3 linked regions of the Lonchura striata genome follow. The protein of the gene in region 1 interacts with the protein of each later gene in a pairwise test. Links are inferred from orthologs where the notes say so. Each region holds a gene or a part of one and is shown in the gene's direction. Other genes may lie near its edges. The genes, in order: CREB3L1, FAM3C and SLC61A1.

Region 1 (3,744 bases):
AGCCAAGGAGCACCTTGGGTTGTGCTGTTAGTTCTGACAGCCATGGAGAATGTGGAGCAAGAGCCTGAATGGAGGAAAACCCCATGTCCAGTTCAATCACAGGCTCCAGCCAGTTTCAAATCAGCACTTCTTTGACAGGACCCTCACCACTGGCAACTTCTGGCTAGGTTTCCCCCAGGAGAAATGCACTGCTATCTTTGGGTTTTTTTCTCCAGATGCCTGTGACCAAGAAAACCCCTCCTTGGAGCTGGGACTCCAGTCTGTTCTCTGTGGAGCCATGGAAATAGGGACAAATAAATAAAACATCAGGGCTTCTTAAACGGGCTTATTATAAGTGGTTTTCTTGAGTGTTGGTTGGAGTAATGATCAGAGAGGACAGGGATCCATAATCCTATTTATCTGAAACCATATAATCTTCCTGAAGCTCTTTAATAGTGCCCAGCTCTTTAATTACAGAGCAGCCGCACGTGCGGCTGCAGCCAGGCCTACCTGCAAGCCCTCTGCGGGGAGCGGGGGCAAGGAGACCTCCCTGCCGGCTGCCCTTCGGGCTCCGATCCCGCGGAACGCCCGTCTTTCCCGGCGCTGCTCCCCGAGGGATGCAGAAGGGCCACCAAAGCCGGCCGGCCGGCTGCTGAAAGGAGGGTTTGTTCGGTTCGTCAAACTGCCACGGCTCTGCCGGGGACCAGCAGCGCCCTCGGGTCCCTGCGCAGCGCCGGCAGGAGCACGGGGGCCCCGGGCAGGCACCGGCCTCACCCCGCCCGGCGGTGCGGGGGCTGCCCGGGAGGCGGGGGCCCTGCCTCGAGGGGTGTCTGCGCGGGAAGTCCCGCCCCGGCGGCTCCCGGAGAGCGGCGGGGGCGTGCCGCGGCCGCCCGCCGGCCCCTCGGCAGCGGGGCACTGACAGCCGGCCTGAGCGGCACCGGCGCGGCGCTCCGCTCCGTGCCCGCCCGGCGGTCGCTGCCGCCCCGCCGCCCATGGGCCGCCGCCACCGGGGGGCGGGCGGGAGCGTGCGGCCGCAGTGAGCCCGGCCGGCCGAGCGCGGGGGGCGGCCGAGCCCCGGCGCCGCGGGCACCATGGACAGTATCCTGGAGCCCTTCCCCGCCGAGCGGCTCTTCCCCGCCGCCGGCACCGGCTTCCTCGACTTCGGCGACTTCAGCGAGGCGGACTTTCTCAGCAATGTGGTAAGGGACCGCCGGCAGCACCCCCGCTCCGGCGGGCCGGCCCCGGCAGCGGGGACGGGACGCGGCGGCGGGCTCTCCTCGGTCCCCGCCCTGCCCCGGGGTGCCCCGGAGATGCAGGTAGCCGGGTGCCTGCCGTCGCACACGGCCAGCCCCCCGCTGGACTGGCCCAGCCGCTGTTACCCCGAGGAGACCCCGCCGGGGAATCTCAGGGCTGTTGTACACTATGGTTTTACGAGCCTGATGGCTGGGGAGAAGTGTGCGGTGCCAGGCGGGGAATGTACGACCTGCCGTGTGTGAGCTCGGGCAGCACCGGTGGCACGGCCGGTTGCCGCCGGGAGAGCTTTGGGCTCAGCCCCTCCTCTCTCCTTTGCCTGTAACTTTTCCTCAGAGTGGCATTTGGGAGATGAAGCATCTACCGCTTGGCGCTTTGGCTGGGCTGATTTACTTTGGAGAGAAGGGTGAGGAGGAAGAGTGACTAGGGAGGAAAATGTGTTGCCAGTCTCAGGGAACCAAAGGGGCATTGTTCACCTCTAGGGAAACTGCCCAGTTTCTCCCAGGAGTCAGGCGAGTTCTCAGTCCAGCAACTCTCCCTGTGAACGCGCACAGACTCTTTGCTATAGTGCCCGAGCTCTCCATGGGAGTTTCCATGGGATCCTGCCGCCCCTCTGCCGAGCAGAACCCAGCCCTGAGGCAAAAGTGGGAAGGGCCCCACCCCGGAGGTGGTTTGGAGCGAGGGTATCCAGCGCTGGGCAGCAGAGCACTGCCTGAATGCGAGGCTCCGCCAGCCTCTGAGCAGCTGCAGCCGTGGGACAGTGTGCCTGCCCCGGACAGAGATCCGAGCAATGGCTTGTTACTCTCCTTTCACGGTGCTGGCACCTCCCGTGTTCCCGGTGTAGCACTGTGAGCATCCCTGAGGACTACCCTTGCAGTGGGAGCAGGGAACAGGGAGACGGTGAATCCTCTGATGAATCCACTTCTGCTTTGCTACACAAAAGATATTTGAAGTCTTTTGTGTTGCCTCCTTTGTGAGGGAGACGGTAGAGATGCAGAATTTACATAGATATTAAGTGCACTGCAGCAAGCAGAGCACACGGGGTCTGGGAAAGAGATTATGGAGGCAGCCCTATCCCTCAGAGATCTTGCCAGCTCCTAATTTCCGAGATAGCACTGTGCCTCGAGGACTGATTCCACTGGGCTCTACCAGAGACAACAGAGTCCGCAGTGTTCAGGCACACCTTCCAATGGCACATCACCCCAAGACTGAGCACGTGCCTCACCCGCTCATATCTGAGAGACGTGTTGTTAGGAGTTTTGTGCTTTCCCTAATTCCATACACATCCAGCGTGGATGAAGGTATGCTGATAGGAAGTGCTTTATGTAAAGACCATTTATTCCTTTACCAAAATGAAAATAGTATTGTATTGGCACCAGCCCTTTTACCAGGTGCAACATGGGCTGTGGTCAGAAGTCAGGGAACCCCTAACCAACATAGGGGGTACCTTTTTATAGTTAAACATAACTTCTGCCTGCAAGCAGATCCTGTGAAAAAAGCTTTTGTGTAAGAGTGCCATCTGGTGCCACCTGCCAGGACAGTGTGTTTAAAGTGTGTGGTGGCCGTGGGCAGGCTGGCTCTGTCCTGCCTCATTTAAATGGCTTTTCTGCTTGGAGAGCTGCCTCTGGAAGCAGCTTGCCGTTGTCTTCTCATTTAACTATGTTGCAGTGACTCAGACATCGTTGTGCTCAGATGACAGCAGAAAGGCGCTTTTTTTTAAGGCTTTTTTTTTTCCCCTATGGATTTTTTCCCCAACTGCCAGCGCCACAACTTCTGCTGGAGTTAAGAGTATCAAGCTGAAACCTTCTCGTCCTGCAGAAGATACATATAAGAGATTCTGTAGCCACTTCTCGCCTGCAAAATCTGTTGGTGATACAAGAGCCAGAACATAATACATCACCCTCTTTGTTCTCACTCTGCATGACAATGGGAAGGATGGAAGAAATACACTTGGATTTTCTTACTAAATCCAGCAAATCTCCTGGGATCTTGCAATGTGCGGAGAAGTTCTTTTGACATAGAACTGTGCAAAACATCACCATGCACAATTGCTTTCAAAGTTGCCAGTGTCTTTGCTTCAAAGATGGGCAAACTTTTCCAGATATTGTTCAACAGGCATTTTTCTTAAAACAGGGCAGGAATTTCAGCCATAAAATGTCAGTATGAAATTTTCATGAATATGATTTCCTCTTTTCAGAAAGGAAGTAGAAAGAAAAGATGGATGAACCTTGTTGCAGAGTCTGTGCTCCTTTGGGACAAGAATTGCATGTGTCTACTACTGTCCTTTCCAAAACCTTGGCAATCCTAATGAGTCATCTTGGTCTTTAAAAAATGGTTCTCTGTATTGTTCATCTCAAGCTGTGACAAAGAATTAATTAAGGCACATCTGTAGATGCCTCTTCAGAAAGATCTGTGTGCTTGCAAAAGAAAAAAAAAATTAATGTGTAGGAGCTGCCTTTCAGAGACAGCTTCCCAGGTTGTAGGAATAGGTTGACAGAAACATCATGAAATTCA
Region 2 (3,744 bases), on another chromosome or scaffold:
TCAGTGGGATTCAACTGCAGCCATTCTGAAGTCTAACTTATTTCTTTGACTTTGATACAGATGTATTCTGAGGTATTGGTTATTGTACAGATAATATTATTTCTTCTTTAAATAATTTGATAGTGCTACTTATGTAATCTTTTTAAAATATTTGTTTCAATTGCAAACATTTGCTTATCAAAGCAGTTAGCCTCTGTTAGCATACAGACTTTACAAATCTGTTACTGTAGACAGTGCCACCTAATTAGTAATCAGGAGAACATGGTTAAAATTAATACATTAAGCCCTAACTGTCAAAGTATTATATATCTATATAATCTTTTAGAACTAAAAGCTATAAATACCTTCTTTTTTTGTGTAATGCTCCCACTGGGTACTCCTTTGCTTAGAGATAACAGAATGCCTGAAACTTCATTGTGCTGCAAAAACTTACTAAAGAAATCACTTGACTGATGTTCAAATAACCATCTCATACCAATGACCAATCAGTCTCAAAGCATGCTATTTTAAAACCAATAAAAGAAATATCTATTGTCCAGAAGTTGTTAAAATAAGACATGGAAACTTTCTTTTGTGTACCTGACACTGATGATGTGCGATATGTCCTACATTTTGGCTGTGGTTTTGTTCTCTTCTGAGAGAAGCGCCATGCTGATTTTGTAAAACTGCTCTCTTGCTGTTTTAACAATAGGGGAATTTACAGGGTCTGGAGCTCTGCTTCCCCAGCACTTTCCATACCCACCCCAGCAATAGTCCAGCTGAGTCCAGCTGAGTTAGGCCAGTGGAAATCTTCCACAAAATAAAATGCTGCTCATGCTGCTCTTCCTGCTTGCGTCTCTACCCACTCCAGCTACCCCTAACTCCCTACCTACTCCAGCTCATGACAGGGTTAGAGGAAAATCAGTGCCAAAAAAAAAAAAAAAAAAAAAAAATAGGATAAAGAAGAGACAGGGATTATCTTTTCTTCTTATGCAATAACACAGATTGCCTCAATCCTGCTGATCACAATGCTATTGAAAGAAAAAGATTGGACTTTATTTTAAACCAGAAAATGCCATTTCTGTTCTGCAACAGAAGATAACTTCTGGTGTGTTTGGGTAAAATGAAGAAAAAAAAAAAAAGAAAATGTGTGTAAAATATAAAAGAAAACAAGCAGAAACATCTCGGTGTCCAAGTCGCTCCCGGGATGGGCACCAGGCTGGCCGTGGGGCACGCCTGGCACGCTGCGTTCGGCGCTCCCCCGCGGCTCCCGGCGCAGGGCAGCGCGCAGCGCCCGCGGCCCGCGGCGGGCGGGGCGCGGGGCGGGGCGGCGCGGGCTCGGTCCGCCACCGGCAGGGGGCGGGTGCGCCCTCCGCGCCTTCCTCCGGCTGCGCGGCGCCGGCGGCTCCGCTCGGTTCCTGCTCGGGCCGGGGCAGCCTTCGCGGCACGGCCGCCGAGGGGACGCTGCGCGACGTGTCCGCGCCCCACAGCCCCGGTATGTGCTCGCCTTCTCCGCGGGGCTGCGCGGGGAGCGGCCCCTGCCCGTCTCCCGCCGGGCATCCCGCCGCTGGTTCCGCCGCCCGGGCGCGCATCGCTCCGCTCTGCGCGGGACAGCCGCAGGCTGCCGGCCCCTGCCTCCGCTGCCGGCTTTCCCCGGCGGTGCCCCTTTCCCCATCCCTGGCCCTTCCCCCATCCCCTGCTGCCCCGGGAAGGGTGAGGTGGGCCGGGGCCGCGGGTCCGAGCCGGGCGGGGCGCTGGGCGGGGGCTCAGCCCCGTCCTCCGCCCTTCCACCGTCCCAGCCCGGCGCGGGGGTCGGGGCCGGCGGGAGGCGGCGGTGGGGCAGGGGGCGAGCGGGAGGAGGAAGGGGGGGCAGCGGGTGCGGCGGTCGCGTCCGCAGGACGGCCCGGTCCAGGGAAATGAGAGAAACGCTGGCAGCGTGGCAGCCCCTTCCTGGAAACCAGGCGGTGCTGCTGCTCGGTGGTGGTGTTCCCTTGCCTCTCTCTGTGGAGTGCGGGGCCGCGGGCGCCGTTGGTCCATGAGTTGGAGGGCTCGGCTCTTGTTTAACTAAAATGCATCGTTACAGAGGGCAGCCGTGAGCTCCTAAGGAAGTTAAATGTGCTGCTTGCAGAGAGGTACTTGTCGAAGCAGTCTGTATACCTTTGGTTGCTGGCCTCTGAGTTGCTGAAGTAGGAAAGCATATAGAAATAATATAATTTTTTTCCTCTTTAGTAAATGCTACCATATGTTAAGCCACGTGTTTGGCTGAGCCGCTTAGGAGCTATGTGACTCACCCGATTTGTTTATTTTCCTATTTTCTCACATTTGAAAGAGGTTAAATCACAACGTAGTAACTCCAGACTTGGGTGAAGATCTTTGCATGTACGAGGTATTTTAATGTTGTGCGGGGCTTATTGTGCCGCACCGACTTGGAGCCCGTAGTGGTTCTTTGCTGGTGAACGCAGCTGACTTCACCTCTCTTTTAACGAAGTATTTATTTAATACTAATTGGGGAGTTATTTAGAAAAAGTATCAAAACCACAGACTCACACCAGAAATGGCTACCTAATGACTGTCGTGTTGTTTTATTTTTTTTTTTTTTTTTTTTAACTTTCGAAGCTTCTTAAGGTATGAGTATCTTCATTAGCACATATTTTCCCTCAGGGTTTCTTTTATGCAAAGTTGTTTGTGTGGCAAAACAAGTTTTGTGACTTGCTTTAAGCCTGCAGGTAGGCTCTTCACAAGCTAATAGCTTGCTATTATCATGTAATAACATCGGATCACTGCGGGATGGAGGAAGCACCTGTTGGTTTCAGGCCTTGCTTCCATGGCTTTGCAAAAGTCCTGACCACTTCACCCAGTAGGAGCACGGAGTAGATAGATGATAGATAATAATCGGTGCTGCACCGAACCCAGAGTTCCTGTCCAGCCTCTCTAAGTGCAGCCCGAGTGCTTCAGGGCATATGTGCTCTACATAACCTGGTTTGGGTTAGAAGGAGCCTTAAAGACTATCTATTTCCAGCCCCCTGCTATCGGCAGGGCACTTTCCACTAGACTAGGTTGCTTTAATCCCCATCCGAGCCTGGCCTTGAGTGTTTCCAGAGATGGATTACCTGCTGCCTCTCTGACAAACCTCTATCAGTGTTTAATCACCATCCCAAGAGGCACGCTGCTCTAGTCCCTTGGACACTGGGCCACTGAGTACAACTCTTTAAGTGGCCAACCACATTTAATGAGAGCTATTAGTGCTTATAGAAGGGAGGCATGATGTACACAGAGTTTAAAATTTTAGTGGAACTTTGGAAAATTAATATTTAAAAAGTGAATTCCTGAACGTTATTTCTCAGGATTTTGGGGGAAATACTGACATACAGGAAACAGATCTTTAGTTTTTTCAATAAAATCATAAGATGGATTGATACTGTACAAAAATACCTGTCTACTTGCAGATTATATTGCAGCATGAAGATTAGGTGTCCATAAAATGAATCCACAGCAGACACAGAGAACTTGTTCTTAAATATTTAAATTGATCAAAGAGAATTTGCTATTCAAATAGAACTTATGTTCTGGTTTTTAAACTTGTATTTCCAGTGAACTTGGGGAATTGACATGTGAGTGTAATGGCTGCAGGTCTTTCGAGTTTGGTAATCAGTATGTCCATGAGTCATTATATGTCATATGTATGTTCAGTTCTGAGTTTTTCACTAAAATTTGCTGAGGCTGTGTAGGGCTTGAGGCATAATTATTGTAAACCTCCATGTTTTA
Region 3 (3,744 bases), on another chromosome or scaffold:
CCCCTGTGCCCTACCATGTCTCCATTATCCCATGTCCCCAGCCGTGTTCCCCATGTCCCCTGTGCACCCCTATGTCCCCTGTGTCCCCTCAGTTATGTTCCTCATGTCCCCACACATCCCCACGTCCTCCATGTCCCAAGCATCCCCCGTGTCCCCTGCGTCCCCCCATGTCCGTGTCCCTGCATCCCCCCCAAACTCATGTTCCCCGTCCCCAATTTCTTCCATGTCTCCCTTGCGCCCCGTGCCCTGCCGTGTCCCACGTGCTCTCCCATGTCCCCCCCTACCCACTGTATCCCCTGAATTCCCCCTATCCCCAGGTCCTCCCCATGTCCCCCGTGTCCCCTCACACCCCGTGCTCCTCACGTCCCTGGTGTCTCCGTGTACCCCTCCGTGTCCTCATGTCCCCGTGTCCCTCACCCACGGGTGCTGCCACGTGCTCCCCGCGCTCAGCCGCTTTGCCCGGTAAATCCCCGGGGGGGGGGGGGGGGGGGGGGGCGTGGGTCGCGGGAGGGGCAGCTCGGACATGGGGCTGGGCTGGCCGCGACCCCGGTCCTGCCGGCGCGGGGGAACCTCCCCGCGCTGTCACCTCCCCCCGTGCTGCGCCCCCGCCTTCTGCTCCCCGCCCTGCCCCTTCTGCTTACCGCCCCTCCGCTGCCCCCCGTGCTGCCCCCCGCCCTGCTGCCCCCCGCCCTGTCACCTCTCCTGCCGCCCCACCTGGTGCCCCGCACTGCCCTGCCCCCAGTGCCACCCCCCACTGCCCTGCCCCCAGTGCCACCCCCCACCCTGCTGCCCCCAGTGCCACCCCCCACCCTGCTGCCCCCAGTGCCACCCCCCACTGACCTGCCCCCAGTGCCACCCCCGGCCCCGCCCGAGTGTCCGGTGAGGGGCCCGGCCCGGCCCCCGGCGGCAGCAGGGACCCCCGAGGCGGAGGTGAGAGAGGGGCGCTCAGGGCAGCCCCCTTGCAGGAGCCTGGGAAAGGGGGTGCGGGTGGGTCACCGGGAAGTGTCACCGGGGGTGTCACCGGGGGTGTCACCGGGGGGTCACCGGGGGGTCACCGGGGGTGTCACCGGGGGGTGTCATCGGGGTGTCATCGGGGTGTCACCGGGGGGGCTTTGCTCGAGGGGCTGCGCAGGAACTCTCTGAGGGCGGCGGTCCCCGCAGAGCTCCCGTGGCGTGTCTGCAGGCGGTTCTCTGGGGTGTGTTCTCCGCAATGCCCCGAGCACTGTCCGGGTCCCTGAGGGGGGTGTCCCCACCCGTCCCGCGGCCTCCGGGGGTCCCCGTGGGCGCCTTTGGGAGGGGGCGGGGAGAGTGCCCCGTATCACGTGACACCGGCAAACATGGCGGCGCCCGCGGGGCCGGAAGCGGAAGTGGCTCCGCGGATGCGCCGCGGGGCAGCTGCGGCCGCACCGGGGGTACGGGGGAGCTCTGAGGGACCGGGGTTACCGGAACGGGTGGGGGGCCTTCGAGCGTCTGAGAGGTGTCTTCAGTGGTCCTGTGGGCCGACTCCGGGGCCGGGGGGGGTCTGTGTGGGGTAGAGAGGGAGCTGTGGGAGCGGAGGGGGCGCTGTGTGGAGCTGTAGGGGGTACATCGGGGACTTGAGGAGCATTTGGGGTGAGAGGGTCCTGTGGGGAGGTGTGAGGGTTCTGTAACGGTCTTATGAGGAGTCTGTGGAGATCCTGTGTGGGGCCCGTGGAGGATCTGGATCGTGTGGAGGGGGCCTTTTGAGGGGTATGGGAGTCTGTGGGGAACTCTGGTGGGGGTTTGCGGTCTACGTGGGCTCTGTGGGGGCTGGGTGGGGTATGGGTGGGCTTGGGAGGGGTGGTGTGGCCTGTGGACGATCTGTGGGGGATTGTGTGGTGTATCAGTGATGCTGGGGGTCCCTGTGGGGTGAGGAGGCCCTACAGAACCCAGGGGCTGTCTGGGGGATTTGGGGCACCTGGGTGGTCCCTCTGGACTCTCCCAGTTCCTCCTAGAGCTGATCCCCCTTTTTCCCTTCCCCAGGCCCTCCTGAGCCCCCTCCCCACCATGTTGCTGCTGCCCTTCTCTGCCCTCGCCCTGTTCCTCCTCACCTGCCTGGCTCTGGAGCCGCCCCCGCGGCGCCCCTCGCCCTCCAACCCTGCCTTCCGCGGCTTCCAGCGGCAGTTCCTGCTGGGCTACCTGCCGGCACTGGCTGCGGACTGGCTGCAGGGCCCGCTGCTCTTCCAGCTGCTGCACAGCCGCGGCTTCCTGCGCAGCCAGATCGCCGCCCTCTACTCCTGCGGCTTCGCCTCCAACGTCACCTTCAGCCTCATCTCCGGGTCTTTTGTGGACCGGCTCGGCCGCAAGAAGTCCTGCGTGCTGTCCTCGGGGCTGTGCTCCGTGTCCTGCCTGCTGCAGCTCTCCCAGGATTTCCTGGCACTGGCAGCCGCCCGGCTGCTGGCGGGGCTCGGCACCTCCCTGCTCTTCTCTGCCTTTGAGTCCTGGTACATCCACGAGCACTTGGAGCGCCACGACTTCCCAGCCGAGTGGATTGCTGACACCTTCTCCTGCGTGGCCCTCTGGAACAGCGGGCTGGCCGTGGCAGCGGGCCTGCTAGCTGAGCTGGTGGCCGAGGGGCTGGCGCTGGGCCCTGTGGCCCCATTCCTGGTGGCAGTGCCCTTCCTGGCTCTCTCGGGGATCTTGGCTGGGAAAAACTGGGATGAGAACTACGGGAAGAGCCGGCCCTGTGGGAAGGCCTGCAGGGAAGGCCTTCGAGGCCTCGTATCCGACCCACGGGCCCTGCTCCTGGGGCTGGTGCAGGCTCTCGTGGAAAGCATCCTCCTCATCTTTGCCTTCCTTTGGACACCCGTCCTGGAGCCGCACGGGATCCCGCTGGGAATCGCCTTCTCGGGCTTCACGGCCGCCAGTGCCGCGGGCTCGGCGCTGTTCCGGCGCGGCGTCGCCGGGAGGCTCCGGCTGCAGCCGCTGCGGCTCCTGCCCGCCTCCGTGCTGCTCCTGGCGCTGGCCCTCCTGCTCCTGGCACTGCCGCTGCACCCCCCCGGCGGCTTCCTGGCCGTGCTGCTGCTGCAGCTCTCCTGCGGGATGTACTTCCCGGCCATGGCGTTCCTGCGGCGCCGGCTGGAGCGCGGGGGGGACGCGGCGGGAGGGGCGCGGTGGCTGCGGCTGCCCCTGGGGCTGGGGGTGGCGCTGGCGCTGCCGGCCCTGCCCGGGGACCCCGCGGGGACGCGAGGGGTGTTCGGGGCCGCGGCCCTGGCGGCGCTGGCGGCGCTGGGGGCAGCCGGGGGCGTCCTGGGCACCAGCCGCGGGGACGAGGGGCTGAGGGTGGGGGACGAGGGGCTGCTCGAGGGGGACACTGCGGAGTGAGGAGGACACCGCGACAGGGACACTGGGACAGCTCAGCAGCGACACCTGGGTGTGATGGGAACACTGGGACAGTTCGAGGGGGTCACTAAGGTGTGACAGGAACACTGGGATGGGACAGGGACACTGGGACAGCTCGATGGGGATACCGGGGTGGGACAGGGACACTGGGACAGTTCAGCAGCGACACCTAGGTGTGATGGGAACATGGGGACAGTTTGGTCAGCAAGGTGTGACAGGAACACTGGGCTGGGATAGGGACGCTGGGACAGCTCAATGGGGATATGGGGTTGTAATGGGGATGCTGGGGTCTGACAGGAACATCAGGATAGCTTGATGGGGACATCAGGATGTGACTGGGATACCAGGACAGCTTGGTGGGGACACTGGGGTGTGATAGGAATG

The links.
Region 2: the proteins of CREB3L1 (region 1) and FAM3C interact in binary tests that used the Homo sapiens proteins (3 or more experiments, as listed by UniProt). The two-hybrid records come from large-scale screens. The link is inferred for Lonchura striata from reciprocal best matches to the Homo sapiens genes CREB3L1 and FAM3C.
Region 3: the proteins of CREB3L1 (region 1) and SLC61A1 interact in binary tests that used the Homo sapiens proteins (3 or more experiments, as listed by UniProt). The two-hybrid records come from large-scale screens. The link is inferred for Lonchura striata from reciprocal best matches to the Homo sapiens genes CREB3L1 and SLC61A1.

Annotation. Positions count from the first base shown.
Region 1 is NC_134608.1:38,463,279-38,467,022, forward strand, and holds the start of CREB3L1 (cyclic AMP-responsive element-binding protein 3-like protein 1), read left to right. Parts: upstream 1-1,006; 5' UTR 1,007-1,070; coding exon 1,071-1,178; intron 1,179-3,744.
Region 2 is NC_134607.1:32,701,576-32,705,319, forward strand, and holds the start of FAM3C (protein FAM3C), read left to right. Parts: upstream 1-1,343; 5' UTR 1,344-1,474; intron 1,475-3,744. UniProt on the Homo sapiens protein: May be involved in retinal laminar formation. Promotes epithelial to mesenchymal transition.
Region 3 is NC_134629.1:4,626,777-4,630,520, forward strand, and holds the start of SLC61A1 (molybdate-anion transporter), read left to right. Parts: upstream 1-1,387; 5' UTR 1,388-1,412; intron 1,413-2,001; 5' UTR 2,002-2,025; coding exon 2,026-3,342; 3' UTR 3,343-3,744. UniProt on the Homo sapiens protein: Mediates high-affinity intracellular uptake of the rare oligo-element molybdenum.